2 linked regions of the Canis lupus familiaris genome follow. The protein of the gene in region 2 purifies or fractionates together with the protein of the main gene of each other region. This does not show direct contact. Links are inferred from orthologs where the notes say so. Each region holds a gene or a part of one and is shown on either strand. Other genes may lie near its edges.

What was found.
Region 1: the proteins of tumor necrosis factor receptor superfamily member 10D-like (region 2) and CFLAR purify together in Homo sapiens (affinity purification with western blotting; 5 studies listed by BioGRID and IntAct, with this or other methods). This does not show direct contact. The link is inferred for Canis lupus familiaris from reciprocal best matches to the Homo sapiens genes TNFRSF10A and CFLAR.

Annotation. Positions count from the first base shown.
Region 1 is NC_049258.1:10,119,955-10,136,142, forward strand, and holds the start of CFLAR (CASP8 and FADD-like apoptosis regulator), read left to right. Parts: upstream 1-6,899; 5' UTR 6,900-7,119; intron 7,120-9,426; 5' UTR 9,427-9,605; exon of another isoform or gene 9,606-9,661; intron 9,662-9,803; exon of another isoform or gene 9,804-9,867; intron 9,868-9,887; exon of another isoform or gene 9,888-10,130; intron 10,131-13,647; exon of another isoform or gene 13,648-13,878; intron 13,879-16,188. UniProt on the Homo sapiens protein: Apoptosis regulator protein which may function as a crucial link between cell survival and cell death pathways in mammalian cells. Acts as an inhibitor of TNFRSF6 mediated apoptosis.
Region 2 is NC_049239.1:47,462,115-47,477,503, reverse strand, and holds the end of tumor necrosis factor receptor superfamily member 10D-like, read left to right. Parts: intron 1-770; coding exon 771-858; intron 859-2,061; coding exon 2,062-2,190; intron 2,191-4,625; coding exon 4,626-4,737; intron 4,738-5,885; coding exon 5,886-5,965; intron 5,966-8,196; coding exon 8,197-8,319; intron 8,320-8,690; coding exon of another isoform or gene 8,691-8,729; intron 8,730-8,791; coding exon 8,792-8,856; intron 8,857-10,086; coding exon 10,087-10,344; intron 10,345-11,296; coding exon of another isoform or gene 11,297-11,374; exon of another isoform or gene 11,375-11,396; intron 11,397-11,859; coding exon 11,860-11,902; intron 11,903-12,061; exon of another isoform or gene 12,062-12,634; intron 12,635-12,995; coding exon 12,996-13,300; 3' UTR 13,301-13,752; downstream 13,753-15,389. UniProt on the Homo sapiens protein: Receptor for the cytotoxic ligand TNFSF10/TRAIL. The adapter molecule FADD recruits caspase-8 to the activated receptor.

The sequences.
Region 1 (16,188 bases), on a different chromosome or scaffold from region 2:
TAAGATGAACTTCACTAAAATGAAATATTTTTGCTCTGTGAAAGATAATATCAAGAGAATGAGAAGAAAAGTCACAGACTGGGAGAAAATATTAGCAATAGATAGACACATTGGATAAGGGACTGTTATTCAAAATATAAAAAATAAATCTTAAAACTCAAAAAGAAAACAATCTCATTTAAAAATGGGCCAAAGACCTTCCTGGACATCTTACCAAAGATGACATTCAGATGGCAGATAAGTATATAAAAAGATGCTCCACAGCATATGTCATCAGGGAAATAGAAATGAAAACAATAATGAAAAAAAAAAAGAAAAAAGAAAACAATAATGAGATACCACTACACTTCTCTTAGAATGGCCCAAATCTGGAACATTTGACACCAAATGTTGGCAAGGATGTGGAGCAAGAAACACTCACATACAATGCTGCTGGGAATGCAAGATACCAGCACGTTGAAAGGTTAGTGCTTTCTTATAAAATTAAACATACTCTTGCCATACAATCCAGAAATCCTGCTTCTTGGTATTTACTCAAAGGAGTTGAAATTTGATATCCATACAAAACCTGCACATTGATGACTGTAACAGCTTTATTCATAATTGCCAAAACTTGGAAGCAACAACATGTTCTTCAGTAGATGAATGGATAAATAAACTGCGGTACACCCAGGCAATGGGATATTATTCAGTGCTAAAAAGAAATGAGCTATCAAGTCATGAAAAGATATTCAGGGACTTTAAATGCATATTACTAAGTGAAGGTAGCCAATCTGAAAAGGCTACATATTGTGTGTCCCTACTATGTAACATTCTATAAAAGGCAAAACTAAAAAAAAAAAAAAAAAAAAAAAGGCAAAACTATGGAGACAGTAGATCAGTGGTAGCACTATCTCCATAGGAAGTGGGAGGGGGGCCATTCTATTCTCAACATAGCTACCTCTAGTTACAACAGTCAACAAGCCTGATAGCCTGGGCTCTAGACTACTTTAGACTCCCTGCTTTTGAACTGAAGCTCTGCCAATTATTAAAACTCTGGTTACTTAATTATTACACCACTCTAAGCTTCAGTTTTTCGAATTAGTAAAATGAGGACAATGGTTCCTACAGAGAATTACATGAATTGATGGGTATATTAATATGCATATTAATGAGCATATTAATATACCCATGATAAAATCATAGCTATCATATGTCTATTCTCAAATGGTAGCTCTCCTTGTCAAAGTATCTTTGTAGGCCCCAGGGGAGATATGTGCATGATGGTCTCTCCACTGGAGTCTGCCCTGAGCCATGGGGGGTTAGCCCTATTTTTAACTTCAGTGTTAGGCACTGAAGCAGTGCGTACTCTTCGATGTCTGACTTCTTGCACTTAGAATAATATTTTCTTTTCTAACATTTTATTATAAAATGCTCAGTCAAAAGAAAAGGAAAACCAGAGTGTCTGAACATTTACTTTCTGTTAAGAAAGGGCTCCTCACTGTGGGGCAACAGCATGGAAATAGGTCAACGCAAGTAAGGAACAGCCCCAGTATGACCCTGAAATGCCACATCTGTACCTTGGCTTGGCCTCCATCTGCGTCAGCATCTCCCCCCAGGCCTGGGACATCACTGAACCAGCTGGTGGCCTTGGGCTCTGATGATTTCTCTTTCCCTTGACCTTGATTATCTCTCTCCCTGTACTCAACATATCCCTCTAGTGCTTCATGATGCAGATAACAGATAGGACTCCAACAGACCTAGGAGAAATCAGATAGACATGGAAATGAGAGAAACACAGTAGAGGAATGTGTGATCCCTGAGACAAAAGACAATTAGATCCTGGTTGACAAAAAGAAGAGGGTCAAGGACAGAGCCAATATTTAAGGAACAAACAAAGGAAAGGAAGTCTATCTATAGAGAGACTGACAAGGAATGACCAGAAAGGCGGGAGGTTTTCTGGAGAGGGTTGGCTCCTTTTAGGAAGAAACCGTTTCAGTAAGTGGGGAGGGGAGCAGATCAATGTGTCCAACCAAGATGAGGTATGCCTCTCAGATTAGGAAATCTCATTGGTCTTTTTCCACTCCACTTGGGGAGTTCTGGAAGCCAGGCCTTTCTTTCCTTTGTAGGTGGGAGATTAAGAGTCATCTCTGCTAAATCTGAACAATTTAAAGGAAAACTTTGAACGTACTGACAATGGAGGTTCCCCAAGGAAATAGCTCAACCAGATACTCCACTGAGATGTTCAAAAGAGATTAGACCCATTTGGAAGCTCAGAGCTTCCAATCCACTTTTGTTTGCCTATTTGTTTTAAAATCAACTTTTTCAATGTGTAGTTTGCATAAATAAATGCACTCGTTTAAAGTGTATGGTTCAGTGATTTTTGACAAATATATACTCTCATGTAACTGCTATCTAATCAGTGTGCAGAATATTTCCATAACCTCAAATTTTTTCTTATGCCCCTTTACAATCAACACTTTCCTCTCAGGCAAATACTGATTTCCTTTCTGTCATTATAGATTTATTTTGTCTTCTAGAATGTTGTATAAATAAACCACACAGTACTTTGTGTACAGTAAAATAAACCATATTTGTACTTTTTGTGTGTCTGGATTCTTTCACTCAGCACAGTGTTTTCTTCCCAAACCTTTTGTTATAGAAATGTTCAATCATAGAGCAAAACTGAAAAAAATTTTACAGTAAACACCCATATATCTACCACAAGATTATACTACAGTTGACCCTTGAACAACATGGGGGTTAGGGGTGCCAATCACAGCCAAAAATCCACATACAACACTTTTTAAAAAAAATATTTCATTTTTTAAAAGTAATCTCTACATCTGACCTGGGGCTCATACCCACAGCCCTGAGATCAAGAGTCACAGTTTCCCCCAGCTTAGCCAGCCAGGTGCCCCCATGTATAACTTTTGATATTGTAGTATTACTATTTTTTTCATTCAAAGTTTGTTTGGTATTTTTGTTGGTATGATACTTAGATAATTGGTTGCATTGACTTCTTACATTATATGGTGATGTGCACTATTTCTGACATGTATAGTACACAAAACAAGATCCTTTAGAACAGTTATGCACAATACATGCAATATTGAATTTATACATGGGATCCCAGGATGTGACTGACTGTAGAAAAAAAAGATGGACTAGGCATGTTGAATGTTGGGTGAAAGAATCAGAAGTTATAGAACACCAGTAAATACACATCTTCATGTTCCCCAAGGACCCACCCATGATCGCTTAATGGGTGAACTCCCAGCCTTTCCCTCCAGTACAAACCAGGCTGAATGCAGTTTGCAACCACTTCCAATAACACGGTTTGGGGGGAAGCCACTTATCTTCCAACCTACATAGGTCAAGATATCCTTTGGCTTGGAAACAACAAGCAACTTACAGTTTGGGTTGTATTTTACAATATTAGGAATTATGATCTTAAAGATGTTCACATGATACTGGACCAGAGTAAGATGGCTTTCTCCCTCTTGCTGACATGCCCCAGCTGTGATAATAACCAGCTTGGTGTTTGCAGTCACATTATAGTCTTTGCCAGAGAAAATTTTTGGTGTTCTAAGGAAAAGGCTGCCATGCTGGAGATCCATCATCTCTCCCTTTAATTTGTCTTCCATGACATTAACAAGAGCAAGTTCATCTGCCAAGTCCTTCATTAAGACACTGATGGCACAAGCCATGCCAACAGCACCAACCCCAACAACTGCAATTTTATTCTGGGGGGTTGGGTCTTCCTTAAGAAGATTCTGAATCCTTGAGAGTTGTCATAGTGTACTCAGAACCAAAAGGATTCAGGAGGGCTCATTGGTTGGTGTTGGTGGTGTGCAGGGTTGAGTCTTGAGTCTGGACTTGGAGGCAGCAGCTCTCCCAAGGTATTCCTATGTTTAATTTTTGAGGAACCAGCATGCCTTAGGGCAGTGGTGGCTGCTGGTCCCCGAGGCTACAAAACATTAGCCTGGAGGAGCCCTCCACCATGTCCCACCTTGAACAACTACCTGATAGGTAGATGAGCATGCAAACAAAAACCTGATTGGGTGACAGGCAAGGGTTAATCAAATTTAAACAATCCACACGAAAGACCCCATAAAACCCCCCTAAATTTAAATGCCAGATTAGCAACCCTCTTGGGTTCCACCCTCTTCAGGAGCTTTGTACTCTCAACAAACTTTGCTTTACTATCACTCAATAAACTTTGCTTTGCTTCCCACTACTCTTTGTCTGGTTTACCTCATCATTCTTCAAAGCAGGCAAGACCAAGATCTGCAGGCACTGAAGGAAAAGAAATCCTGCAACAGAACTACCACTTCCTAGGCTCGGGAGGATGATTAGAACTCTAGTATTCTCAGCACTCCAGCCCCAGGTAGATCCTCTGTTCCATGAGTGGGCTGGATGGAAAAAGGATCCTCCACTTCTCAACCACACTTATTCAGGACTTAGCCTTAGTATCAGGTAGTAGCTAGGCGCTTGGTGAGAATTGTTGACATCCTGCTCCTCCCACTGGGATTGTGGGGAGAAGAGGCTCTGTATTCTTGATTGCAGCAGATGGATCTCTGGTGAGTTAGGAGTTTGAAGTGGTCTTGATTGAAATACCACAGATTCTCACTCACATTTCTTATCAAATTTTCATAGATTTTCTTGAATATATGTTTTTTTTCATTTGCTGTTTTCTCATAGGACTATTTCCAAGGCTTTCAATGATTGTTTGTTGTTGGCTTGTTTTAAAATGATTTTCATCAGGAGCACCTGGGTAATTCAGTTGGTTGAGGGTAGGACTCTTGATTTCAGTTCAGATCATGATCTCAGTCAGGGTTGTGAGACTGAGCCCCACATTGGGCTCCAGGCTGAGCGTAGAACCTGCTTGGAACTCTCTTTCCCTCTCCCTCTGCCTCCCACCCCCACTCCATGCACGTGCAAGCTCTCTTCCTAAAAAATAAATAAATAATTTTCATCAGTTTCACTAGGGAGTGGGTCACCTGAGTTCCTCTAGTTGTCATGCCAGTAGTTAATCTCTTGGCATTATTCTTGTAACTTTCCTATAAGCTTAAATTGATTTCAAGAAAAGTTAAGAAATAAAAAAAATCACAAAGTGGTTATTAGGAATAAATAGATTAAAATATAAAGTGCTTTCACATTTGTTATTTAATATTATTCCCATGCATTGATCACAAACACTAGCAGCACTTGCTTGCTCCTATGACAACCAGAACTACTTTAGACAAACACCCTAGGTTCGTAGCAGATTCAGTTACTGAGGAAGAGGACGATTTTACTTTACTATTCAAGTTTCTTTTGTCTGGTCTAAGAATTAAATTGACATATGACAGGAGAACATAAAATTTAATTGTGTACCTAGCAGGCAATCAGGCGAGTGAGGCTTACATGCTATCCAGAGAGGAGAGGGGATCAGAGGTGTGGGACTTCAAAGGGAAGGAAGAGAGTTCAGAGGAACAAAAGAGTAAATGGTAAACAAATGTTTGCTGGGCGGCACAGAAACAATTGGACATAGAGAGGAATTTTAACAAACAGACTTTGCTAAGTTCTTCCCGGTCTAAAACACCTAGTTCATATTATGCTGTAGTTGACTATGGTGATCTCTCCTTTCCCAGGGCAGGTCCTCCATCTATGTTCAGAGATTATATATATAATATATATCATATAATATGTAATCAGTTCTTGCAGCTGTGTTTTGGGAAGTGATTAAGCAATATTTTTCAAACCTGATGATTCTTGGGTATTTAGCTATTGTCCTCCAAAGAGTCATTGTTTCATGTTTTCAAAGATGTACTTTGTGCTGAAGGTTCATGTCAGTTATCCTGTGCTTCCAACACTCACCAATGTTTTTTACCTGATTGATCCGCCAAGGATTGTAGTTTGCTTTAACTTCAGAGTATTTTTATCTTCAATTTTATTTAATTTTGTTTCATTTTGTTTTCATAAGACAGTGTTTCAGCTATGTAATTGGGGCAAACCACTATAGGTTTATGTTGGATAGAAAAGTGAAATGTTACTAATGAGTTGAAATAACCGACTTTTGGTTGCCTATCACTACTGTTGATACATATATTAGAATGTATGTCTCAGAAGATGGTTTCTGTTTAAATTTTTTTTAAATTTTTATCTATTTATGATATCACACACACAGAGAGAGAGAGGCAGAGGGAGAAGCAGGCTCCATGCACCGGGAGCCCGACGTGGGATTCGATCCCGGATCTCCAGGATTGCGTCCTGGGCCAAAGGCAGGCGCCAAACCACTGCGCCACCCAGGGATCCCGGTTTCTGTTTAAATTTATGGTCAAGTTACAACTGAATTCTAACATGGATTAAAAGCTCCACATTAAAAAACATATATATATATATATATATATATCTTGTCCTGTATATATGTATATGTCTTGTTCTTCTATATATATGTATGTATCTTTTTGATATATATATATATCTTGTCTTTCTATATATATATATGTCTTGTTCTTCTATATATCTATGTTCAGATATATATAGATAGATATATAGAAGGACAAGATATATATAAATCTTAACATATATAGGACAAGTTCTTTATATATATATAAAATACAATCAGTTATATAATATATATATTCAGATATAATCAATATATAATCATATATATATTTATATATATAATCAGTCAAATATATACTATCTATACACAGTTATAGGGAGGGTCAAAGTTCCTTCCAGAGTCTTGTTTCTCAAAAATAATCCCCTAAAGTAATCCACGTGCCACAGAGACCCATTTGCGGCCACAGTCTGCTCCCCTACACAGTGGAGGGGATTAACAGCTGGTTGGCTGTGGCACAGGAGTGCTTTAATTCACAGGGGCTCACTGGGGGCTGGTGAGTGGGGGGCTAAGGGGGTGTCTGGGCCCGACCCAGGGAGCGTCGGTCACCAAACCTCCCCAGCATGAACGCCGAGAGACGCCTCGAGGGAGAAAGGCCAATGGAGGCGGGCCAGCAGGGAGGCGACACGTCCGTTTGCGGGCTCAAGCTTTCGGTTTCCTTTTCTCCATCTTGCTCGGGATTTTGGGGCGTCATCGCCAGCGAAGTCGATAGGGCGCAGCTCGAGAAGAGTCCCGCGGTAAGCAGGCTGGTACGTGCCCAGGGCTTGCTCCCCCGGCTCGCGACTCCCCCCGGGCGCGGGCCCACCCAGCCAGCCGGGGAGGGCCTCGGGGGCCACCCCTCCCGCCCCTCCCGCCCCTCGCCGCTGCTGCTGCACTAGCTCCTTCCGGAGCTGACCTGGGGCGGGGGCCGCCAGGCCTCGGTTAGGGGAGCCGACGGGCTCCTGGCGGACGATCCCCGGGTTAGGGTCCTCCCTTGGCTTCCTCCGCCCGGGCCCGCGGGCCCTGCTCGGCCGCCGGGGGCACCCGCCAGGTCACGGTTAGGGGAGCAGACGGCCTCCTGGCGGACGATCCCTCGGTTAGGGTCCTCCTGCCGGCTCCCTCCCGCGGGCGCCCGCCCGACCTGCTCGGCCGCGGGGCCCCCACCCGGGGCTGCCGCCGCCCCCGCCGCCCCCGCCGCCCCCGCCGCTGCCAGGCGCGCCCGGGCCCGCGTAACCCTTGCCCCACATCGAAGCTCCAGAGGACGAGCTTACTCCAGGGGACGAGTAAACGTTGCTTAAAATCCTCTTTGTGCAGGTGGCTCAATTCTTGGGGTAAACTGTTCCAAAGATTTGGCAATTAACTTTCGAAAAGCTGATGATGAGCCTTTTTCCCCCCTCCGTGATTACGTGTCTCTGCAGAAGCAGCCCGCCCGGCAGGAATTTTTACTTTATCGCAACAGTCTGGTGAAGTAGGTCAAGGGTTGCCTTTCACAACAGGGGACCAACAGATCTTGAGAAATTGCAAGGAAACTTCTTTTGCTAAAGTTTGGAATGACTGGGCAAGGTGTTTGTAAAGCCGTCCCATGGACTTGCGCCCCGCGCCCCGCCTTGCCCCTCCTTCAAAAGGACTGGGAAGGAGACACACACATAGGCGGAGGGAGAAGCAGGCCCCTGGCAGGGAGCTGGGTGGGACTCGATCCCGGATTCTGGAATCATGCCCTGAGCCCAAGGTCTCAACCTGGTCTCAACCGCCCAGCCACCCAGGCTCCCCAGAGCTGGGAAATGTTGATTTCAAGATGTACCTGCTTGATAGTGTCCGGATTTGGGCAGAAGGACAAGTTCTTTTTAAACATTACAGGGGGGAAAAAGGAAAAACATTACAGGGGAAAGCAATAGAACAAAGGCCACGGAAGAGTGTTTTGGCCCTAGGGAACAGGAAATGAGTAGGGCGCGGGTTAGTAAAAGGCCCTAAAACCCCGAATTATTTTCATTTGTTGTTGACATTTGAAATTTACTTACACGATGAGACGGTAATGACAACAAAGAGATGGAATATGTCACCGACAAACCCGGATAATCTAAAACTAAGACTGGGCTCTGGTGGGCTTGGCCTAGTTTAGGTAAGATATTTCAGAGAAGTGGAACAGAATTTTTGGTATTTTTCCCTCCATGGTTCCCCCTAAGTAATCTTACAAAAAAAAAAAAAAAAAGTTTCATTGGGAGAAAATTTGGCTGAACTCCAAAACTACAAAGAAGGCAAAAGAAAAGACTCGGGTTTGGAAGGGGATCTTGAATGTCACACGGAAATTTTTACTTTTCACGTATTTTTTTTAAAGGTTTTCTTTATTTATTCGTTAGAATACACACACACACACACACACACACACACACACAGAGAGAGAGAGAGAGAGAGAGAGAGAGAGAGAGAGAGAGAGAGAGGCAGAGACACAGGCAGAGGGAGAAGCAGGCTCCAAGCAGGGAGCCTGTCGTGGGCCATGATCCGGGTCTCCAGGATCAGGCCCTGGGCCGAAGGCGGCGCTAAACCAGGCTGCCCTCACTTTTCATGTTAACGTTTGTTTTGCTTTCAGCTTTTGAGATGCGTATCCTGATTAAAATGGCTTTTTCTTACGACTTCACGTTTTCTATTTCTGTTTGTAACTGACATTTGCACTTCGCTTTAACACTATATTCCTTACTAGCTTGCACCCATTTTCGACGGTGAAGCCGCCTGCAGGTCTGCAGGAGTGGGGTGCACCTTGCACCCCGCGATTGGGGGAGTGGGTGGGAGTATAGTCTCGGGCAGGGTTTTTGTGTGTTGTTTTTTTTTTTGGTGGTTTTTTTTTTTTTTTTTTCCGGCAGTAGCAGGGGCTTAGTGGAAGCTCGAAACCAAAATAGCTTTGGTCCTGGGGCACTTGAGTCACACAGCCCCGCTCCCTGCCAGGACATGGGGGCACAGCCGCAGCACCCACTCATTCTCCGCCAACAGCACGTAATTTCCCCCGAGTTCCACGTGGCGCTTTGCTTAGACAAAGAAGAGTTTCGGGACTGCCCCACGTACGCTTGCGGAGTGTTTTTTAGGTGCGGGGGCGGAGAGTTCTCGAACCGTGTCTCCTGTGGGCTGCCTGGAAGAGGCGCGCAGAGACTTAGCTGGATGCGGCCGTCGGGAGCCCGCTGGAGGGTGCACCTGCCGAGCGGGGCGACGCGGACGCCCAGTCTCTGGAATACCCGCAAGGCCTGCTTCCCGGAGCTGCGAGTCGGTCAGCGGCGGGTCTCACCCCCGCCCGAGGTCGGGCGGGAGCCGGGCTGCCCGGGCGTGAGTAGACTAAGAATCCCGTCCGCCCCTCCTCTCTCGACCTGCGCGTCGTGCTGGAGTCGCCTGGGCTCCGGGGGTGGAAGGACACTGTCCCCGACCCCCACCCCCACCCCCCACCCCCCGGAAAAGGATTGAACCGCTTTTTTAGCCCTTCTGGCCTGTTCTGGAGCCTTCTGGGGACTCACCTGCGGCAGTCAGATCACCAGGCATGTCACTTTTTTAAAATCTCAGGAATGGATTCCGTTTGGTTCTTTCTTTCTTTTGGGCCCCAAAGGCTAATTAAACTCGTGTTTATGGACTGAACTGCCTCCTCTCCTTTGATTTGATGTAATCCTACCAACATTATTGAGCTCCTATGGGCCAGGCCGAGTTCTGGGCGCTGGGGACCTAGAGATGGATCTGAACTTGGTTCCTTACCCCCCAGGAGCTCACAGAGCGGTTAGGGGAGACCGAGCAGTTACCTACACAGGTAGGTAGCCGTCCCAGGGGCCGCTGACAGCCACGAATGGGGGGAAGACTGTTGGGCCACGTTGGAGAAATAATGACAGATAACAGAGGGCAACGCCTACGTAATTACACTCATTCTTGCTTTCCTTACTATATATCAGTGAGATAACAAACATTATCGTTCTTGCAATGCCCTATTTCTCCTTTATGTTCAGCTCCTGTCACCTCCTCTCAGAAGCTTTCATAACCCACCACCACGTGTCCCCTTTCTCTATACTTTCATACACACGGTGGCTGTCTTTACGCTTACCATATGATTGCACTTAACACTCTGTATTGTAAATACTTTTCTTCAGAAACTTTTCAGTGAAGTTGTATTGTGATTATCTGTGTTTAAGTACCTGCAAAGTGAATAGAGAAAGCCCTCAGGAGCCCATTCCCTAAGATAAGAGAAGGTTGCAGTGTTTAATGTCTTTTTCAGACATTTAATGCACTTACATACAGACTTCTAAGTGTTTTAAAATATTTTTTTTCTTATTTTGTATGATGCTGTGTCTTCAATTGCATATCAGAACTGGTGTTTATTTTTTTCTATTAACATCTATGCTTTTCTCAGATGGAATTTCATTCGCCTCTAGCATCAGTGTTTCTAATGAAAGATTTTTTTCCTAATGACCACTTTCCTTGTTTTTGAGAACATATGTATCCATAATTTCCATTTAATTCATCTGCTTGTTCATATGGCCCCAAAGTTTTTTCTCCCTCAATTCTGGGTTCAGAGAAGTAATTTCTTCTTTGACTCCAAGTACATACAAATGAATGAATATATATGTCTATGTGTGTGTATGTATATATATGTGTGTATATATATATACATATACACAATATGTATATATATTCTTTGCAGATGAAACTGCTTCTTTCTCTGATGATCTCTGCTTTTAGCCACTTTGTCTTTATTTAAATTTTTGTGCAAAACAGGCAAACAGCTTCTTTGTTGTTTTCCTCCTATTGGGGTTATAATCTTTGGTAATTTAGTACTTAGAAGAACTAACCTTCACCCATGTGATACCACATTCATCTATATATTCAAGATGGTTTGTGTCTTCTGCAGTGAACTCTTCAATTGGAGAAATTAACCCACTTTATTTACATTAATATCTATATACTGAAATTTTTTTTAATTTTTATTTATTATTTATGATAGTCACAGAGAGAGAGAGAGAGAGGCAGAGACATAGGCAGAGGGAGAAGCAGGCTCCATGCACCGGGAGCCCGACGTGGGATTCGATCCCGGGTCTCCAGGATCACGCCCTGGGCCAAAGGCAGGCGCCAAACCGCTGTGCCACCCAGGGATCCCTATACTGAAATTTTTCAATGTAATTTTAAAAAATCCTCATAGCTACTTACTCCAAGGTTTAAAATGTTCTTCAGGCTAATGGCTTCCTTCTATTATTTGATTTTATAGGTGGGAACCCAAGCTTCCTTATCTAGCTGTCAAATTCTTGAGCTTTTTCTTTTTTTTTTTTTAAACTTCTTTTGGATCTTCCATTTAGCTTACTATATCTTTTTTGTTTGGTTTTGGTTTTGGATTTTACTTGAAGCTTCCAGAAAGTATAGTTTTAATAATCATTAATTTTGTTCTAAAGAGTAGGGACATGACAAATCTTGTTTGGATACTAACTATGAATAAACCAAATTCCTTGCAAGAATGACCAAAGCTTGATTCAAAGTTGAATAAAATAGGGATCCCTGGGTGGCACAGCGGTTTGGCGCCTGCCTTTGGCCCAGGGTGCGATCCTGGAGACCCGGGATCGAGTCCCACGTCAGGCTCCCGGTGCATGGAGCCTGCTTCTCCCTCTGCTTCTTTTTCTCTCTCTCTTTCTATCATAAATAAATAAAAATTTATTTAAAAAACAAAGTTGAATAATATAAATCAATAATAAGTGAATTCCTTCATTCAGCATTTACTGAGCACCTACATTTACTTAGTCTATCTTTTAGGTGGGTTGTCAACTGGAATGTCAAGGAACCTAGAAAGTGGGAGCAGACAGGAGATCAGAAGCTGGGTACCATTTAATAGATACCAGAGATAGTGATGGGGCTGGAGCAAATGGGGAATTTTTATTTTCTTCTGTACTTTTCTCCATTTTCCAGGTTTTCTTGTAGCACACAAGTAGTACTTTTTGTAATTAGAAAAAAGAATGCTGTGTAAAAAGAATTGCAAGATCTGTATATCTCTGGTATTATAGGTGACTTATGATTTTGAACAGGACTATCTCCTGATGGGCCAACCTTGGAGAATCCATTATATAAACTGAGCAAATATACCTGCTTGGTTGAATTTTTAATTCAAGCTAGTCTTGTATAAATGGGCTTCAGGGCAGAGAAATGTCTGCTAAATATTTTATTTTAGTGGGGCATAATTGATACCTTGGACATAGAGGATTGTTTCTTTTTTTTTAAGATTTTTATTTATTTATTCATGAGAGACACAGAGATTCAGGCAGAGACACAGGCAGAGAGAGAAGCAGGCTTCCCACTGAGCAGGGAACCTGATGCGGGACTCCATGCAAGACTTGATCCCAGCACCCCGAGATCAAGCCCCGAGCGAAAGGCAGATACCAACCGCTGAGCCACCCAGGCACCCCACAGAGGGTTGTTTCTTGAGCCTTAGATTCCTTTGATAAAAACTTAGAGAAGGATTGTATATTTTCCTGATTGTGATTGCATGGTGATAAAGATGACACTAAATGGTTCAGATACCTACAAAGAACTGAGGCTAGGTCACAGCCCTCCTTTGCAGTACTTGGGATTAAGATCTGATCTCTGAACTCAGGCTTTGCTGAAGCATTGAAATTTGGAATCTTGCTCAAACTCAGCTTTGCCTGTTGTTGTTTTGAGGAAATTGAAGCCTCAGAGTAAATTGATGAATGTAGTAAATGCTTCACACTGTCCTATGGCTGTTTCTCAATAACATGAGTGAAAAAGTGATAGCTCATGGACAATTAGTTGTGTCTTATACCATCTCATACAAGGTATTAGTAATTTTGGTGATGTCCTATTGAGGAAAAAATTCTTTAAATTTAGGCACTTTTGAGGCCATCATAGGAGATTTATACCACACACAGAGGACTGGCCCAGAGGTTTGGCAAAAATGAAAATCCTGAACATAAATCTTGTAGTTTTAGTAATTGTGATAAGTGCAAAGGATAGAATTTTAACTAAAGGAACAGGAGATATACCTTTTGTTAAAAGGCCAGGGGCTGTCCGGTGAGTCTGGCTAGAGACACTGGATTTGGCCTGTTCAAGATGAGGTCCTGCCAGCATGTAGGATGCCCTGCATGGCGGCTCACCAGGATCTTGCAGTCACACTGTAAGCCATTCTGAAACAATTGCATTGTTGTTCCTATATTTACAAAGCTTCCTTTCACAAGCTGTTTCCTGGATCTAACAGCCAGGTTCCAAGCATGATATCTACAGCAACACCAGCTCTGTCTTGCTTCATTGTAGGTTACGAAAGGATGAGTAGGCATCACACATGTGCGGGCTTGCTGGAGCTGTGTAATCATGACCAGTCTGTTCTTGGGGGGGTGAGCTTGACAGGCCTGGCCAGATGCACCACAGCCTAATGAACATGAAGGAGGACCTACCTATCCTCAAGGACTTTACCACATATGATAGATACCCAACTAGAATAAGATAAATATTGGAAGAGAGTAAAAACAGTGCTACAGAGCAGTGGGAAATGACCTGACTTAGGGATCAAGGTAAGCTTATGGAAGAGAAGCCTTGAAAGATGGGATAGAATTCCAATAGGTGGAGACTGGGAGGAGGAAAGGGGCTTTCCAAATGGAGGAAAATACTTAAACAAAAAGGTTGGGACAGAAAAGCTCTGTCCAGAGAACACTGAGATATTTATTTGTCATGAGTTAAATTACAAGTCGGGCAGAACTCTTAGGTATTCTTGGGGAGCTACTCTTAGGTACTTGGGCTACGTTGGAGAACTTTGCCCTCATGGAAGTTTAACTTTGGTTAAGATGGAATGGGCCATGGCGTACCTGGGTGCCTTAGTCGGTTAAGTGTCTGCCTTTGGCTCAGGTCATGATCCCAAGTCCTGGGATTGAGTCCCACGTTGGGTTCCCTGCTCAGTGGGAGTCTACTTCTTCCTCTCTCACTACCTCTCCCCTAGCTCGTGCATTCTCCTTCTCTCTCTCTCAAATAAAAAAAAAAAGTCTTTAAAAAGAAAGATGGAGTGGACCATTGCATTAAATGGATTTACTTTTATTGCGCCTGGTGATTCTGGGTATGTTTTTGTTGCCAAATGGATGTTTCATACTCTCCATCTAGATCCTTTCTTTTTCTGTGGTTCTTTCATCCTCTCATTTTCTACAACTTCTGTGCAAATGTTACAGATCAGGGAGGTGATTGGAGGTCATGTTATGTTGGCATTTGTGGGAGCTTCCCTGAGAGTCATGGGACTGAGCCTCATCAAAGAACTTTATAAAAGTATCTTCTAATTTTATGTCATTTTATAGTTGAGATTATCTGTTGTTTGTGGGCAATTTGCTATAAGTGAAATGATGACTTGTGAAGCTAAATAATGTTTTAATGTATATTTTTAGCTACTGACGCATAATAATGGTCAGTAACATCTCAAATTGGAAAGTGTTCATGGCTTAGCCTTGAGCTCAGCCTACATGGTCATCTAGACTATGTTTGAGTATGTATCTGCAACATTTCAGAAATCAGGAACCACATGATGATCTATTATTTATAAACCTCATTTTAAATATCTCTCTGTGTGTGGGGGTGTTATGCAAAATGGCATTTCATGCACTATCTTAGGTTTAAAATGTCTCAAATGGAAGAAGAAAGATGGGTTCATTATATTAGCTGCTTGAATTGTTACACACACAACCCACCTCCACAGATTCTGTACACAGAGAAGGAAGGTGGGTTCTGGTTTGAAATGACATCACAGAACTACATGAGATAGCCACATTCTTTTTGCCCAGGATCATGTAACCCCTTCTTGATCCTTTCAGAGTCTTTTGGGTGACTCTTTTAGGGACTTTATGTTCATGTTTCAGTGGGTATTTTCAGACACCTGACAGTTCCTTGTTTACATGCTAGTTTCTGCAGCTGGCGAGGCTGGCTATTCTCCATCACTACCCAGTTTTATGGTGTTGCTGGGAAATTACATTTACATTCATACTATGGCCATGCTTGTTTTCATTGCCATGCCATGGCTTTGCTTCAGGTAGAGAAGCAGTACAAAGAATGGAATATTCAGTATGTCTTTGGATAAGTTAAGGTATGATGGGAACTAGTCATGCTGGTGGCCGTGTTACTGATTACAGAGAATGTCATGTACTTTGGATACCAGACACTTTGGAGGCAAAGTTGACATTCTGTGAGAAAGATTGAGAAGCCTGACTTAAGTTAACCACATTTTACTGTCACCTCTTGGGGTCAATGCTGGGTACTAGGGAGGTATGTCCATAGCACTGTGATGATACAAAGAAGTTATTGGCCAAGTCCGTGTGAGTTCTTCCCAGGAAAGTTTTACACAGTATGAGACCTGAGAAGTGTTTTTGCTAGACAGGAAGTGGAAGAAGGTATTCCAAGCAAAAGCATAGAGGCATAGGAAAGAGCTCTGTGTTGGGGTTAGGTGGAAGCCAAATGTGCCAAGTGTGTATTAATGAGAGATGGGGCAGTTGCTGGACCACAAAGGGCCTTGAATGCAAAGAAAATTGGAACCTGCAATGGGAGATGAGGAATCACTGGAAGATTTAAATTAGGAAAATGACTTAGTTCAAGTGTGAACTTCAGAAAGTTCATTCTGATAGGAGATTGATTTGGAGGGGTTGAGACCATAGACAAGGAAAACAGAAAGGCCAGGGAAAAATCTGGGTGAGAGATAGGTGTTCCTTAAATGAGGATGTTTATGTTTTAATGTATATTTTTTCCTTAAATGAGGATATTTATCCTCATTTAAGTAACAGGTGCAGACGGAGGGTGCTGAGGACTCAGAGAAGGTTAGGGAGGGACTGTGTAGAATATAGTGGTGTGAGGTA
Region 2 (15,389 bases):
CTGCTGAACAGATTAACTAGAACGAAAAAAAGTACTCGGGGGGGGGGCCCTGGGTGGCTTCGTCCCTTGAACGTCTGACTCTTGATTTGGGCCCAGGAGCTTGATCTCAAGAGTCCTGGGAATCAAGCTCCGTGTTGGGCTTCACACTCAGGATGGAGTCTGCTTGGTGTTCTCTGCCTCTCCCTCTGCCTCCCCTGCTTGTGCACTCTCTAAAATAAATACTTTTTTTAAATATTTTATTTATTTGAGAGAGAGCGAGAGCACACACAAGCACAAGTAGGGGGAGCAGTCAGAGAGAGAGGGAGAAGCAGGGTCTTCACGGAGCAGGGAGCCTGATGAGCTCCATCCCAGAACCCTGGGAATCAAGATCTGAGCTGAAGGCAGCCACTTCACCGACTGAGATACCCAGGTGCTCTGAAATAAATCAGTCTTAAAAAGAAAAAAGAAAAAAAAAAAAAAAGGAATACTTATTCCCAAAGGATCCATCACATACAGGATCCAGTTCTGGCTGAGCCAGTAGGTGAGAGCAACAACAGAACAGTGGGCTGTACCACATGTGTTTGGAAACAACGAACATTTACCCCCACAGTAACACTGCTCCATAACACCGAGTCCAAAAGCACAGAACTACATAGGAAGTTTCCACCCCCATGAAGTGGTAGGTGACTGTCCACCTCTCTGCTCCTATGTGTCCAGATAGAGGGTGTGTGTGGCTCCGTCTGTAGCAGAGGCTTCTCTTAATAACACCCGTCTCCTCTTTCTGATTGAAGGTGCCCATGGCAGCCATTGTGTCCGATTGTATGGAATATGAATATAAACCTGAGGGTCTCAACCTCTGCTGTGAAAAGTGCCCTGCCGGTGAGTCCCAGAGTATCTTCTGGATCCTTGTGGGGTGGCTCTCCAAAGCTAGAGAAGGAAGGCTGTGGGCTCTTGGAGCAGAGCTGGAGGTGGGGTGGGGAGAACTCTGTTGGCTCAGGTGGGTGGACCTCTCCTTGGCACCCACCCACCCCCTCTGTGCCCCCACTCTGGAGGGCTTTCACACAAACAGGTTTGTGGGTTTGTTTTGTTGGGTGAGATGCCTACAGCAGGTGGAGGACAAGCTGGGGGTTCATACCTAGGCTGGATACTCTTACCTCCCCTCCCGTTGGGGTGACTGGACACCTGCTGGTTGTAGCAGCGCAGGGGCCACTGCTGTCCTTAAGTACAGCACATTCATGGAGGCTTACTCACCTGCATGAGGATACTCTGAATGAGCTCCACAAAGCAGGTGGGGGCTGCACCCCCCTCCCATTCTGTGTCACTTCATCTACACATGCAGACAGATGTGCACGCACTACAGTGAGAGCTTCAGGGGTCAACCACACACCTGTACCCACCCATCACCACCTGTATGTTCCACGCCCACGCTCTGCCGGCACAGGACACCTGTTTCAGGGACCAGATATCCTACCTGGGCTACTCACCCTGTACGCTCCTAACACCTCTGTCTGTATACTGCACATCTGTGTGTCCTCATCTTTGTGCACATGGCACCCCGCCCCCCACAGGCACAGCTCATGGGGAGGTGAATTAGACAGTTGTTTCAACTGGAAACTTTGTAATTCAGACTCTACAAATTGCAGTTTGTGACAACTTCCTCCCAGCAAGGTGTGATTTGACTCCGCTACAGCCTTTGCACGAGACAGGTCCTAGAACTGAGAGCTCCTCTGAGCCTGGTCAAAGACCTGTGTCTCTAGACCTCCAGTGTCCCCTGTAACTCCACCAGAAGCTGTCCAGCCCACTCTGGAGGGCTGGGGGTAGACACACAGACACTGTCAGGTTCTTAGGTGGGTTCCAGGGTGTATGCTGAAAACCATCTGCTTGTGTGTCCTGCAAGATGTCCCTGAAAGCCGAGGGGCATCAAGTCCCTGGGTTCCTGAGACACATGTGGCCAAGTTGTCAGACTAGAATGCTCCAAGGAAATGATTGCTGAGGGCTGGTCCCCAAGTGGAGGCCTCGGGCTGGGTCGGGTTGGGTTTGCTCTGGGCCCCCACCTCACCTCTATGTACCCCCCCTTCACAGGCCATTATGTCAGCAAACACTGTGATAAAAACCATGGTGCTGGGGTATGTAGCCCGTGTGAACCTGGAAGCTACCTTCCCTACCGAAATGGGGAGACAAATTGTCGGCTGTGCAGTCGGTGCCGAGAGGGTAAGTGGACTACAGCCAGGCACAGTGGGATTTGTTTCTTAAAACATAGCCCGCTTCGACTCAGCTTGTCAGCATTGCCCCAAGGAATTATTACAGATGAGCGCAATGATAGAGCTGCCATGTATTTAGTCAGTCTACACAGAATCAGGATTTTTAGGAACACTATATGCAGGAATAATATGCAAAGATTTATCTATATATGTTAGCAGCAAAGTGTTGTATTTTTTATTCTTATTTATTTATTTTTAAAGATTTTATCTTATTTATTCATGAGTGACACACACAGAGAGAGAGAGAGAGAGGCAGAGACATAGGCAGAGGGAGAAGCAGGCTCCATGCAGGAAGTCCAATGTGGGACTCGATCCCGGATCCCAGGATCAGGACCTGAGCCGAAGGCAGACACTAAGCCACTGAGCCACCCAGGCATCCCCCAAGTGTTTTAAAAAATGTAATTTTTTTTAAAAGATACTATTTGCATTAGCAAAAAATAGGATTCTTTGAGATAAATTTAGCAAAGGATGTATAAAATGTTAATGTGAACAAACAACATTTAAAGAAATCTACACATGAATCTACATAATAAGTAAGAAGACTCCATGTTTTAAAGAAATCAGTTCTCCATTATATGGATCTTAGACTCTGCATTCCCAGGAAGAATCCCAATGAAAATAATTCAATCATGCTGTATATTTTAAATACAGAATTTTTATATATTATTATTATTTTTTAAGGTATTATTTATTTGAGAGAGAGAGAGCAAGAGTGGGAGGGAGAGGGTGAGGGAGAGAGAAACTGAAGCCGACTCTGCGCTGAGCAAAGTCCATGCTGGGCTCCATCCCATGACTTCAAGATCATGACCTGAGCTGATACCAGCAGTTGAACGCTTAACTGACTGAGCTAGCCAGGTGCCCCCACAATTCTTATTTAAAAAAAAAAAAAAATCTTAACAGATATTTTCATGAAATCTAATGAGTTGACAGTTACCGAAACACTCAGGAGAAATGGAAAGAGCATACTGGCTCTCCATGTGTTAAGGCTTAGTGCAAAGAAGCAGTGAGACCAAAAAAAAAAAAAAGAAGCAGTGAGACCGCGTGTGATACTCACGTAAGGCCAGTGGAAGAGTCGACAGCCCCATCGATGTGGAAGGTGGTATGTGGCACGGTGACTGGGCCCCCTACCACCCCTAGGAGGAAGGGTGGCATCTCAAGTTTTGCTGGCCCAGGTTGCTGGCTGTCCACACAGAGCAGGCTCTAATGCAGGACAGGAGGCTTCCGCTGCCCACACAAGTCAACTCCTGAAGCATAGGCCAAATGTGAAAAGTCAGCCTTTAAGAAGCAAATATAGAGTATGGGGGCACCTGGGTGACTCAGTGGTTGAGCATGATCCTGAAGGTCCTGAGATCGAGTCCCGCATTGGGCTCCCCACAAGGAGCCTGCTTTGCCCTCAGCCTGTGTCTCTGCCTCCCTCTCTGTATCTCTCATGAATAAATAAATCTTTAAAAAAACAAAAAGAAAGAAAGAAAAAGAAAGAAAATACAGAGTATGACTTCGAGGCAGTGGAAAAACATTTTATGGGAGTCCTAAAAGTCACAAACCTTAAGAATGAGGTCGGTGAAAGTGACTGCGTTCAAATGACCAACTTCTATTATTGCAAGATACCCACGCTTTTAGAAAGTTAGGCTGCAAAGTGGGAGAATGTATTTATGTTATAAGCCATGCAGAATCACATCCAGAACAAACAAATTAGGAAGGAGGCTTGAAAAAACACTCAAGTGGAGAGACAGATGTGGCAAAGGTGAGACATAGGTGACCAGCAGACACGTAAAAAACGCTGGAGTAGACAGACGTGCTGTCACCGTCCAGTAGGCTGATGGAGTTGCAGTGCAGGTGTCAAACATTCGTCGGGGAGAGCAGAGAAGCAGAAGTCCTCTTCAACCTGAGGACGGCGGAAGGGCCCCCTCTTCCCCCTGTGGGGTTGATGTCAGCATGGCAGGAGGCAGGGGTCCCCTGTCTGCCATCCTTGCTCTCTGAGGTTTTATTTATTTATTTTTAAAGATTTTATTTATTTATTTATGAGAGATACAGAGAGAGAGAGAGAGGCAGAGACACAGGCAGAGGGAGAAGCAGGCTCCATACTGGGAACCTGATGTGGGACTCGATCCTAGGTCTCCAGGATCAGGCCCTGGGCTGAAGGTGGCACTAAACCATGAACCATTCAGGCTGCCCTCCCTCTGAGGTTTTATGCACACAGCACCTGGGGCAGCAGTGCGCTGTCCTTGGTGGGGCCCGCGGCAAATGGAGAGGTATGGGTGGTTTCTGAGCAGGTGGCCCTCGCCGGGACAGGGTTCATGCCTTCCACCAAGGTGCTGGGCGTAGCCTGTGTGGGAGGGGACGGCCCTGGCCTCGCACTGACCCTCAGCCTTGCCCTTTCAATAGACCAGGAGGTAGTCTCTCCATGCACAGCGACCCGTGACCAGCAGTGCCAGTGCAAGCCCGGCTACTTTTGTGACTCTGAAAACTGCGTGGAGAACTGCTTCCGGTGTCAAAGGTCCTGGAGACGTGGGCGTGGGCCCCTCCCGTACCCACAGTTCTGCAGACTCTAAGCCCCCAGTAGTGGTGGAGACCATCCAGACACAGGCAGCAGTGTCTGGGAGGGGCAAGGGCATAGAGGGGCCCAGCGGGGGTAGGAGGGAGCAATAGAGGATTCCCGGGGGAAGAGCTGTCTTGGACGGCGCCGTGTGGCAGAGCAGAATGACCATCGTCACTGTGAATGTCCTGTGGTGCTGTAACAGCGCCACAACTGGGTAGTTTTGAGAAAACCAACAGAAGTGTATTCTCTCACAGTTCTGGAGACCAGAAGTCTGAAACCAGTCGGGGCCGTGCTCCCTCTGCAGGCTCTAGGGAAGGACCCTGCCTTGCTTCTTCTGGCCTCTGATGTTGCCAGCACTCCTGGTGCTCCTTGGCTTACCTGCAGTCTGCTTCTGTCTTTTCGAGGTCCTCTTCTCATGTTTGTGTGTCTGTCTCTTCACATGGCCTTCTGTCTGTCCCAACACAAATTTCCCTCCTGTAAGGATGCCAGTCATCGAGCAGTCTGGTGTGACCTCATTGTAATGTGATCAGGTCTGCAAAGACCCTGTTTCCAAATGAGATCATTTTCTGAGGTTCTGAGTGGGCACGGATTTTGGGAGGACCTTAATGGGGACAGTGATAGTGGCAAAGCCACCTGAGAAAATAGCTCTTGTTTGTGAGGCACGTTGTAAACTAATATGATTCACACTGTTGAACTGTACCTTCTTGTATCTGGCAAGTCTATAGTAAGGACTGCTTTCAGGTCTGGTTTGATTACGGTTCTGGTTTCTATGGATTCTCTTGCATGTCCCATTTTCCATTTCACCTTTGCACTAACTTCTACAGTTACAGCAGGGCCAGTGCTCACAGTCACATTCAGCTCTATGCAGAAACAGGGAGGCTCCCCCTCCCCCAATACACCACAAAGGGTGGGACAGAGCTTTACTCTTCAATGACCAATTTGGACCAGACAGCTGGGGAGATGCCAGGCAGTGATTTCCTGAAAGCTAGTGGGCCATCCTGGGAACTGAGGCTCCTCTAACCCCTGGCCTGTGGGTGGTGAGAAGGATGTTTTGGGCTGTACCCTGGCAGGGAGAAATAATACTCCAGGTTTCTTCACTTTTTCAGTTGTCCTGACCATGTCAGCTCGCCGTGCAATGCCACAAGGGATACAGTTTGCAACACACAGGATACTACAGACACATCAGGTAAGAATTTGATGTCATCTCTTAACTCCAAGTCAGCAAACTGTTCACGTAAAGGAAACAGGTTAGGCTTTGCAGGCCATACGGTCTGTTGTCACTCCTCAATTCTGCTGCCATAGCAAAAGAAGACAGAGTAAATAAACAGATATGTTTGGGTACCATTAAAACTTGACTTGTAGGAATAGGCAATGGGCTGGATTTGGCCCACGGGCCATGGTTCACAGACCTCTTTGAGTAAACAAACTGATACCATGGTGATGAGCTACGGCTGTGTGGGCTGGCATGTCCTGCCTCGTGTCCAGTGCCCCACGGAGCAGGTGGGGAGTGGCATGGCTGGCTTCCGTGAGGCCTGCAATTTTCTCCTGCCTAGTAGCACCCCTTCCCATCTCTCCTTTCATGTGATCCCTAAAGCCATGCACCAGGTCCCTGCCTTCAAGGGGCTCCTCGTCTGTAGAGGGACATGAGGATTTGAGGCAGGCACAAGTGATGCCCGAAGCCTTTGATCTTGTACAGATACTTGGGCTGAGTGTCTGTGCAAGACTCATGCCTGCTTTGATATAGGATCATAGGCAGGGTTTTTTCTTAGTTTTGATAGTTAAAACTGACCCCTGAACAACATGGGGTGAAGGGTGCCGATTCCCCACGCAGTTGAAAATCCATGTACAATGTTTGATTCTGCCCCCTCCCCCCCAAATATGAACTACTAATCACCTACAGTTAACCAGAACCCGTAGTGGTGACACGGAGAGTTGATTCTCTCCTGTTTTGTACGTTACACGTATCCTATGTACTGTATTTTTCCAACAACTTGAACTAGAGAGAAAACGGGATCCAGGGATTTGTAAGGAAGAGAAAATAATGTGTACAGTACCGTACCATATCTATTGAAAAAAATCCGCACCTAAGTTATCCTCACAGTTCAAAACTCAGTTGTTCAGGGGTGAGCTGTATTTATAAAGGTTGGTAATTACTGACAAAATTAGGCTAAAGTCCCTTTGTGTTGGGAGTATCCCCTCCTCGGCGGGGTGCCTTACTCACGCCGGGGGATCTCCTGGTTCTCGCCCTTCATTTATCATTTACTGGCTTCTGTACAGCTGGAGCGCTTGTGTCCCGTGTGAGAAACCTGGGCTCCCCTCTAGACAGTTAGTGGTTTTTTTACCTTTCTGATTTTGTTCTACAGTGAACCTGGCCTTCGTTTTCTTTTTTTTTTTAATCTTTTTATTTATTTATTATTTATTTAAGATTTTATTTATTTATTCATGAGAGACAGGGAGAGAGAGAGAGAGAGAGAAAGAGGCAGAGACACAGGCAGAGGGAGAAGCAGGCCTCATACAGAGAGCCTGATGTGGGACTTGATCCAGGGTCTCTAGGATCACGCCCTGGGCTGCAGGCGGCGCTAAACCGCTGCACCACCGGGGCTGCCCTGGCCTTCGTTTTCTGCGTGGCATGGGGTAGGAGGTCCAGGTTCAGTGTGTCTTTCCAGACGTACATACAAATGAGCCCATGTAGTATTTTGCAGACATCCCCTTTCACCTGTAGGCAGTGTCAGGTGGTTGTAAAGCGAGCATCCCTATGAGCGGGAGGCTTTCCTTCTGTGCAATCTCGGGCCAAGCCCACCTTTACAGCGGGCCTCGACGTCCAAGGCACCGGGTCCCCCAGCTCTTCCTCCATATTGTCAGGCTGCTCTTGGACGTTGGTGTGTCCATTTACCTTGCAGAATTGGCTTGGTGATTTCCACCAAAAAAATTTGATGCGTGTGACTTGCACTTTTAAAGGATATTTTAACACCCAAAAAAAGAACAGATTAGGAAAGATCTAACCTGAGCACAAAGAAAATCTTTGAGTCAAAAAATGGCTTCAGTCAGGACTGGCCGTCCTCTGCCTCCTGCTGGAGGTGGCTGTGACCCCTCACGCCGGAGCTCTGTCCTGGGATACCAGGACCTCTTGCTGCACTCCTGGCGATGCCGACCTCTCTCCTCCCGCCTCCAGCCACCTGAGCAGGATCCCACATCCTCTGAGCTTGGGGTCTTCATCTGTGACCCAGGAAGCATGAGCCTTTTCTGCCTCCCAGTTGGGACGTTCAAGACGATGATCAGCGGGAGAGGGCTTGGGGCCTGGAGAGACTGCAGTGCTGCAGGCCCTCCTGGGAGCGGGAACTTGGCTGTAGCACGTCACTTGAGCAAGGAAAGTATGCTTGACCCTACTCTACCATTCTCTGCTACATCTCCTTCCAGAAAAGAAACCCGAAGGTGGGTCCCTCCAAATGTTTGTGCTGGTCGTCATCACCATCACCATCATCGTCATCGTCGTCGTCGTCGCCCTCATCTTCCTCCTCGTTTACTGCTATAAAAAGAAAGGTATAAATTCACATCAGGTCAGTCCTGGAAAAGCCAGCTCAGCAACCGCATCGGGAGGTCAGAAGTGGAGAGCCGGTGTTAGGAGACCCCGATGGGGTCTTTTACATTTAGAACACAGCTGTGTTTATTTTCTTACTCTTGTGCCTGAGCTCGGAACTCACGCACTGGGGGCTGCCTGCCACCTGCTTCTGGCACACAGGTCTTAAGCCCAGGTCAGGTCGGTTGGCTACAGATGCCATGTCCGAGGTGCTGTGGGCCAAGAGGTGGGGAGAGACCAGTGCTGTGTCCGCATGGGGGTGCCTGGGTGGAGGCAGGGGCCCCCGGTGCTGGCAGAGTGCCCCGAGGAAGCTCACCTCCCATGCTTTCCGCAGGTATGTGGCTCTACCAGAGGCTCATCAGCTTGTTGAAAGGCAAGTACTTTGTCGTGAATTCAGAGCAATTCTTTCCCTCATGGAAGTCCTTGTCCTCACAGGTGCCCTTTTTGTTAATTTCTTCTCTTCTTGGTCTTCAGGAAGGGTGGACGAACAAAGCAGCACTGTAAGTATTGCTCTGCAGTTTGCTTGATGATAGCTCCGGGCCTTGGTGGGTGCAGAGTCCCAGCAGACATCCCGGGGGCGGGAGCGCGGGAGCCCCTGCCTTCCCAGCCTCATCTGCACCTGCCTTGTTAGAGCCCCAGAATGTGCTGGAAGAAGACTTAAATTCTGCAGGTCTAGGCCAGAATGGAAAATAAGGCAGAGAGGGGCAGAAGGCTCTGCGTGATGCCCTGGGGCTGCTGTAACAGGTCATCACACACTGGGAAGCATGAAGCAATAGAGCCTCTTGTCTCCATACCTACAGGCTGGACTCTGGCATCGGGAATGCATGGGGCTGGCTCCTTCAGAGGCTATTGTGGGGGGTTCCTTCCTGCCTCTGCAGTCAGGGCTGGTAACCCTGGTTCTTCGGCAGAGGCATCACCCCATCTCTGGTTCTCATCACGAGTCTATGCATCTCAGACAGAGTCTGTCTCTCAGGAGGACACTGACCACCAGCTTTAGGGTTTGCATTAATCCAGTGTGAATTCCTGTAGTCGGGTCCGTTTTGGGGTACCAGAGGTTAGGATGTGCACATGTAGACACAACACTGGGGTGCTCCCAGACCACTGCCTGTAGAGCACACAGCGCAATAAAGCCAGTTAGATGAATTTTTCATTTCCCTGGAGTGTATGAAAGTTATGTTTACACCATAGTATAGTCTATCAAGTGTGCAATAGCTCAGTGTCTCAGAAAACAGTGTGCATACCCTACTTAAAAGATGCTTTAGTGCTGGGGGGTGCCTGGGGGTTCAGTACTGTGAAGACTATTGCCCAAGAAGTGCAGTAAAACAAGATCTGCCTGTATCTTTGGGGGCCCCCCCTTCAACCCACCAAAGGCTTGAGTTGGGGGGTCTTGGGATGCCCCCCACTAGGAGTTGCTGGCAGAGCAAGGATTTCACCCCATGAAATATTCTCTAAAATTGCATAGGGATGCCTGGGTGGCTCAGTGGTTGAGGGTTTGCCTTTGGCTCAGGTCGTGATCCTGGGGTCCTGGGATCGAATTCTGTTTCGGGCTCCCTGCAGGGAGCCTGCTTCTCCCTTTGCCTGTGTCTCTGCCTCTCTCTCATGAATAAATAAAATCTTTTTAAAAAATCTACATTTCCTGCTTACCCATCAGACAGTTGGCATCCTCCTCCCCTCGGAATATGTGCAGCAGGCTGCTGTGACCAAAATAACTTTGTCTTTGCCCTCTGCAGGTTGAGATACTGTTCCCTTCGAACCCCGAAAATCACCAGCCAGCCCTGGACATAGAAACATTGTTGCTGAAGGAGGGGCTTGAGGAAAGCCCCCACCCAAGGCCTTTGGAGGAGACCGAGGAGGGCATCGAGCTGCAGGATGTGGTGGTCAGAGAGAGCCCCCCAGCTCCAGAGCAGGTGGTACAGACTCCTGCTCTGGCTGTCTCTGTGTCACAGAACCAGAATGAAGTGTTCCCCTCCCTTAAGAGTCTGGAACAGGTACGTGAGCCAGCCAAGGGGGTCTGAGTAATGACAGCCTGTGCTCATGGAGCACTCAGTGTGTGCAGAGCTCGGTGTTAACTGGTGCCATGCATGCTTTTGCACAATTCCTGTGTGAGTTTCCTGGGACAGCTTAAACAACAGGTGTTCCTTGTCTCCGTGTCCTGGAGGCTGGAAGCCCAGGGATGGCGTGTCATCAGGGCTGCATCTGCCCGAGGCTGAGAGGGCCCATCTGTGCCAGGCCTCTGGAGTCTTTGGGGCTCCTTGGGGAAGCGTCACCCCACCCTCTGCCTCCATCCTCACGTGGCATCTCCCTATGTGCAAGTCTATGTCTTAATTTCCCCTATTTGTGAGGATACCAGTCACTGTTGGAGTGGGCCCCCCATGACCTTGTCATAACTTTCCTATCCGCCGTAACCCTGTTCCTGGCTGCAGTCACATACACAGGTTTGGAGTCTAGTGTCCAGGGGGATGCAGTTCCACCCACAGGAGCCCACAGGTGCATGACGCCACAGCCTCTGAGCGCGTGCATGTCTTGGGTTGGCACACCAACACCCGCTAAGTGGCTCTGGGGAGTAGGGCTCTTCAGGAGGAGGAGGACAGAGCCCATGTTTAGGGAATGATGCGGTCTGGCTTCTGAATCCTACAGGCAGGGCACAGGTGAGTCCCAGGGAAGAGGTCCCAGGGCTTCTGTGCCAGATGCCGTGGACCCTGGGGCCCCCTGGCATGGGTGCAGAGGTTGCAGACTGCACTGTGGAAACTGCATTCCTGGGTTGGGTGCTCTTAGGCATCATTTGAGGGAGACAGCCCCTGAGTGTCTTCAGACTCCCCGAGGCTCTGAGAGGAATCAGTACAGAAGCTGGGAGCCCTGCCAGCTCTGAGTGTCAGGAGGCAGGGGGCTCCCTCTCAGGCTGTGCCATGAGGACACCTCCCTTCTTACCCTGTTTTACAGCCAAGCAGCCAGTGCACAGAGCAGGGAGTCGTTTTCTGGGGCCAACAGCACTGGGTGCGAGGCAGAGCTGGGGTCTGAAGGCCTGGCTTTCATGTCCACAGTAGGTAGCCTGACACCGATGGGGAACCTGACCTCCCCCATAGGAGAAGTGGGCTTTGGAGCTGCGGCTCATGGGCAGCTGGGTGCAGCTGGTGTGGGCCTCCACTGGGAGACTGCATCTGAGTCTCCTAGCATCTCACTATGCATTTCTATGGACAAGTGTGCTCTCTGTTAGCATTCCCTGGAGCAGAGCAGGTCACCCCCAGGTGACAAAGTAGAGCTGTTCCCCACCTGCCCAGGCAGGGACCACTGAGCTGCCTCTGGGCCCAGGGCATGTCCTGGGGGACAGTGACCCATAGGACATAAGTGGCCGGTGAGCTCTCTGCCCCCATGGTGGATTCCTCGAAGGACATCACATATCCATAGAGGCCCACCTGCCCCCACCCTGCTCCTTCCTCAAACCAGATTGTGGTTCTGTTTCAGCCTCCTTCTCCTGGAACAATTTTATTTTTTTCCCTCCACAGGAATATGCAAAGAGATATTTTGTAAAAGATACATCAAATGAAGGTACATATTCTGAATTCCTTTTTTTTTTTAAGATTTTATTTATTTGAAAGAAAAAAAAAGATTTTATTTATTTGAAAGAGAATGCGGGGGTGGGGCATGAGCAGGGGGAAGGGAGAGGGAGTGGGGAGAAGCAGAAGCAGACTCTACTGAGCAGGGAGGTCAATGTGGGACTTAATCCCAGGACCCTGAGATCATGACTTGAGCCAAAGGCAAACACTTCACTGACAGAACCACCCAAGTGCCCCTGAATTCCTCATTTATAGCAACTGTTAAGCCTTCATCTTGCTTGGCCTATGTGTCAAGGCCTGGTGTCCTTGTTTCCAAGGACCGTGTGCCAACCTGAGATGCGCTTTTTCACACTCAAGAATGACGTTAGGGGAAACAGCACTTGTCAAACATGAGTTTTGGGGGGGGGTTCATAGAAATTAGATACCGCTTTGATTTTATCATATGTTCATGTCTTTTAAGGAGGAATGAATGGTGGTAGGAATGCTTGTACCCTTGATGAATAGGCCCTTCTTGGTGGTCATCAAAGATTGAGACCTACCACATGCCAGGTGCTTTTTGTATAGTTCATCTTCACAGGCAGCTCTACAAGACCGCCCCATTGTCCAGGCTTAAAAACACGACAGTCTGAAACTGATAGGTTGCAAAACTTGTGCCAGGTCTCAGATCCTAACCGTGGTCCCCAGCCGACACCAGGCCTTCTCAGTCTTGAGCAGCCTACAGCCTCTATCAAGAGATGTTAAGAGAGAGAAGCAGGGCAAGTGAACTGCAGCAGACTGTGGATCCCCGTGCAGCCCCCAACTGTCCCGGATCCTTGGCTCCTTCTCCCAAGCTCCAGTGATGAGCAATAAGCAGGGCAAGAGCTGTGGCCCCACCTCAGTATCCTGGCCTCGTACCCAATCTGTGACATTGGTAGGGGGTCGCACAGGACCTTCTACCTCCTGGGTATGGTGTGCTAGCTGTCGCCCAGTCCCCAGGGGACAGGAGGAGACACCTGTGATTGCACCCCTGGGGAGTAGTGACAAGAGGTGCCACACAGTCCTCCCAGAAATGTAAAGTGGTTTTTTTTTGTTCTTATTTCTTTCAGGTACCACCAGGCTCTATTATGAATTTGAAGAAATGATCCTGGACAAGAACTGGAAATCTCTGATGAGACTTATCGGTCTTGAAGAAAAGGACATTGAAACTTGCGAGCACGAAAACCCAGACAATTTGACGGAGCAGCATCATAAGATGCTCCTCAGGTGGAGGAACAAGCTGGGAAGGGAAGCCTCAGTTTTTAAACTGTTGGCTGCCCTACATAAAATGCAGCTGCATATGTGTTTGGAAAATATTATCAACGTACTACTTGTTGAAGGCATCTTAGGCAGGCATGCAGAGACCTCAGATTAAACTTTTGGCATGGGATTATGCCTTCACACAGGATCTGACCTATGCCAATGTCTACCTTTTGGAAACTTCTCAGTTTTCAGTTAGAAAGAATCATGTGCGTCCATTAACAGTGTCTCACTACATTTTAGTGAGAGTGCTTCCTGCCAAGATTAGTTGTGGGAATCACCCGTGGCCAAGGTGTAACCAGGGGTGAGCAGGTCCTCACTAGATTAACATTCCTCAGGGAACTTTCCCCAAGGGAAATTGTTTTTCTATTTAAAACAATGTAGCTGCTTGTGCTGAAGTCTTTTATGTCCAGGATGTGAATGAAATGCACAGGATATAAATGAAATGCAGTATTCCTCAATCACACCTTAGTGACTGCTTTCAGTCACTGACCACAATAAGCGAAGCATTTAATTTTATTGTAAAGTTAGCATTAGTTTAGTAAGTATAAGTTTTTCTGTTGTGTTTTCCTGTGTTTGTGGTTTTTTTTTTGTATTTATTTTGATACTGTGCAGGAGTGGAGGGCAGAGGGGGAGGGAAAGGGGAGGAGAAAGTTTAAGCAAGCTGCCCAGCCTGATGGCGGGCTCCACTACATTCAAATCAAAAGCCACATGCTTAACCAATGGAGCCAGTCAAGCACTTTTGTTATTTATTTTTAATAAAATTTTTATCTTAAATAATGTTTCCTCTTCTTTCCGGTGTGTACACAACTTTGGGTGTGCTATCCCTGGCAGGGGGTATCGTGCACAGAGGAAGACATGGACCCCCAGGATTTAATTTGCCAGTGGGAGGGCTCTGGCATGGGGGTCCAAAGCTGCAGAAGCCTCTTTTGGTTTGTGTTCCCCAGGGGTCTCTATGTCCAGAAATACTCATGCCTCAGAATGTGAGCTCTGCTCTGCCCTCCTCACCCCAAACATCAGTTCCTGGATGTGTTCACAGATTAGCCTGCTTATTTCCATTCAGTACCAAGCCTTTGACTTCCAGTGAAAGTAAATGTTACAATCACTCTGCTAACCCAGAGGTGGTTCGCTACCAACTCCCTTGTCTCCCAGGCCTCACCCAGGGCTTGCTGCTTTGTGGGGCTCTCCCAGGACCGGGCACTCACCCAACTAATCCAGGCCGTCATTTCGCTGCCCTGTAGACTGTAAAGGCTTCCAGTCCTGTTCTCCCTGGATCTCCAGGCCTCGGCAATGTGTGAGTTCTAAAGCACAAATCCAGTCATGCCTCATCCTGTCAACTTTCAGTGGGTCCATACCATTCTTCACTCTGTTTACAAGATGCTCCAAAAAGGTCAAGCCCTGGCCTGTCCCTCAAGTCCCCGTCTCCTGCCAGGGCTGCTCCAGGGCATTCTGCACTAACAGTGAAGTTCTCCATGGTTTGCTTTCTGCTAGGTTATCTGCTGGATGGTACTGTGACAGGAATGCACTTCCCATCCATTCCAATCCCATCTTTTTAAGATTGTATTTATTTATTCATAAGAGACACAGAGGCAGAGACACAGGCAGAGGGAGAAGCAGGCTCCCTGTGGGCAGCTGGACTCGAGACTCCATCTCAGGACCCCGGGATCACGACCTGAGCTGAAGGCACTCAAACGCTGAGCCATTCAGGTGTCCCCAAATCCCATCTTCTAAGTTTCTTTCCAAGTAGTCCTCCATCCCTTTTCGACCGCCAGCCTGGGGCTGGGGCTGGGGCTGGGGCTTGGGCTTGGGCTTGGGCTTGTCCCTATGTCCCTTGGTGCAATGCTAACTTAAACAGGCACGCGTGGATTCTGTCTTTAATGCCTGTGTCCCAGGGAGGACTACAACATCCTCCCAACACCCCCACACCTCCAGCGAGTCCCGCGCCTCCGCGCTGCCCCACCCCCCCCATCTTAGGTCGGGACACGGACCCTGTGGCCTCGAGGATGCTCCATGACGCCGCGCGTGGCGCAGTAACAACTACAACTCCCAGCATGCCCGGAGCCCGGGCGTCGGGAGTCCGCGGTGGTTGCCTGGCGACCGGGCGTATCCCGGAAGGTGGGGCGGGTGCTGGGCGGGACTTCCGGGGCGGTGGTTGCATCAGATTCTGGGAAGCTGGCATAGGGGCCGCTGGTTTGGAATTTCTA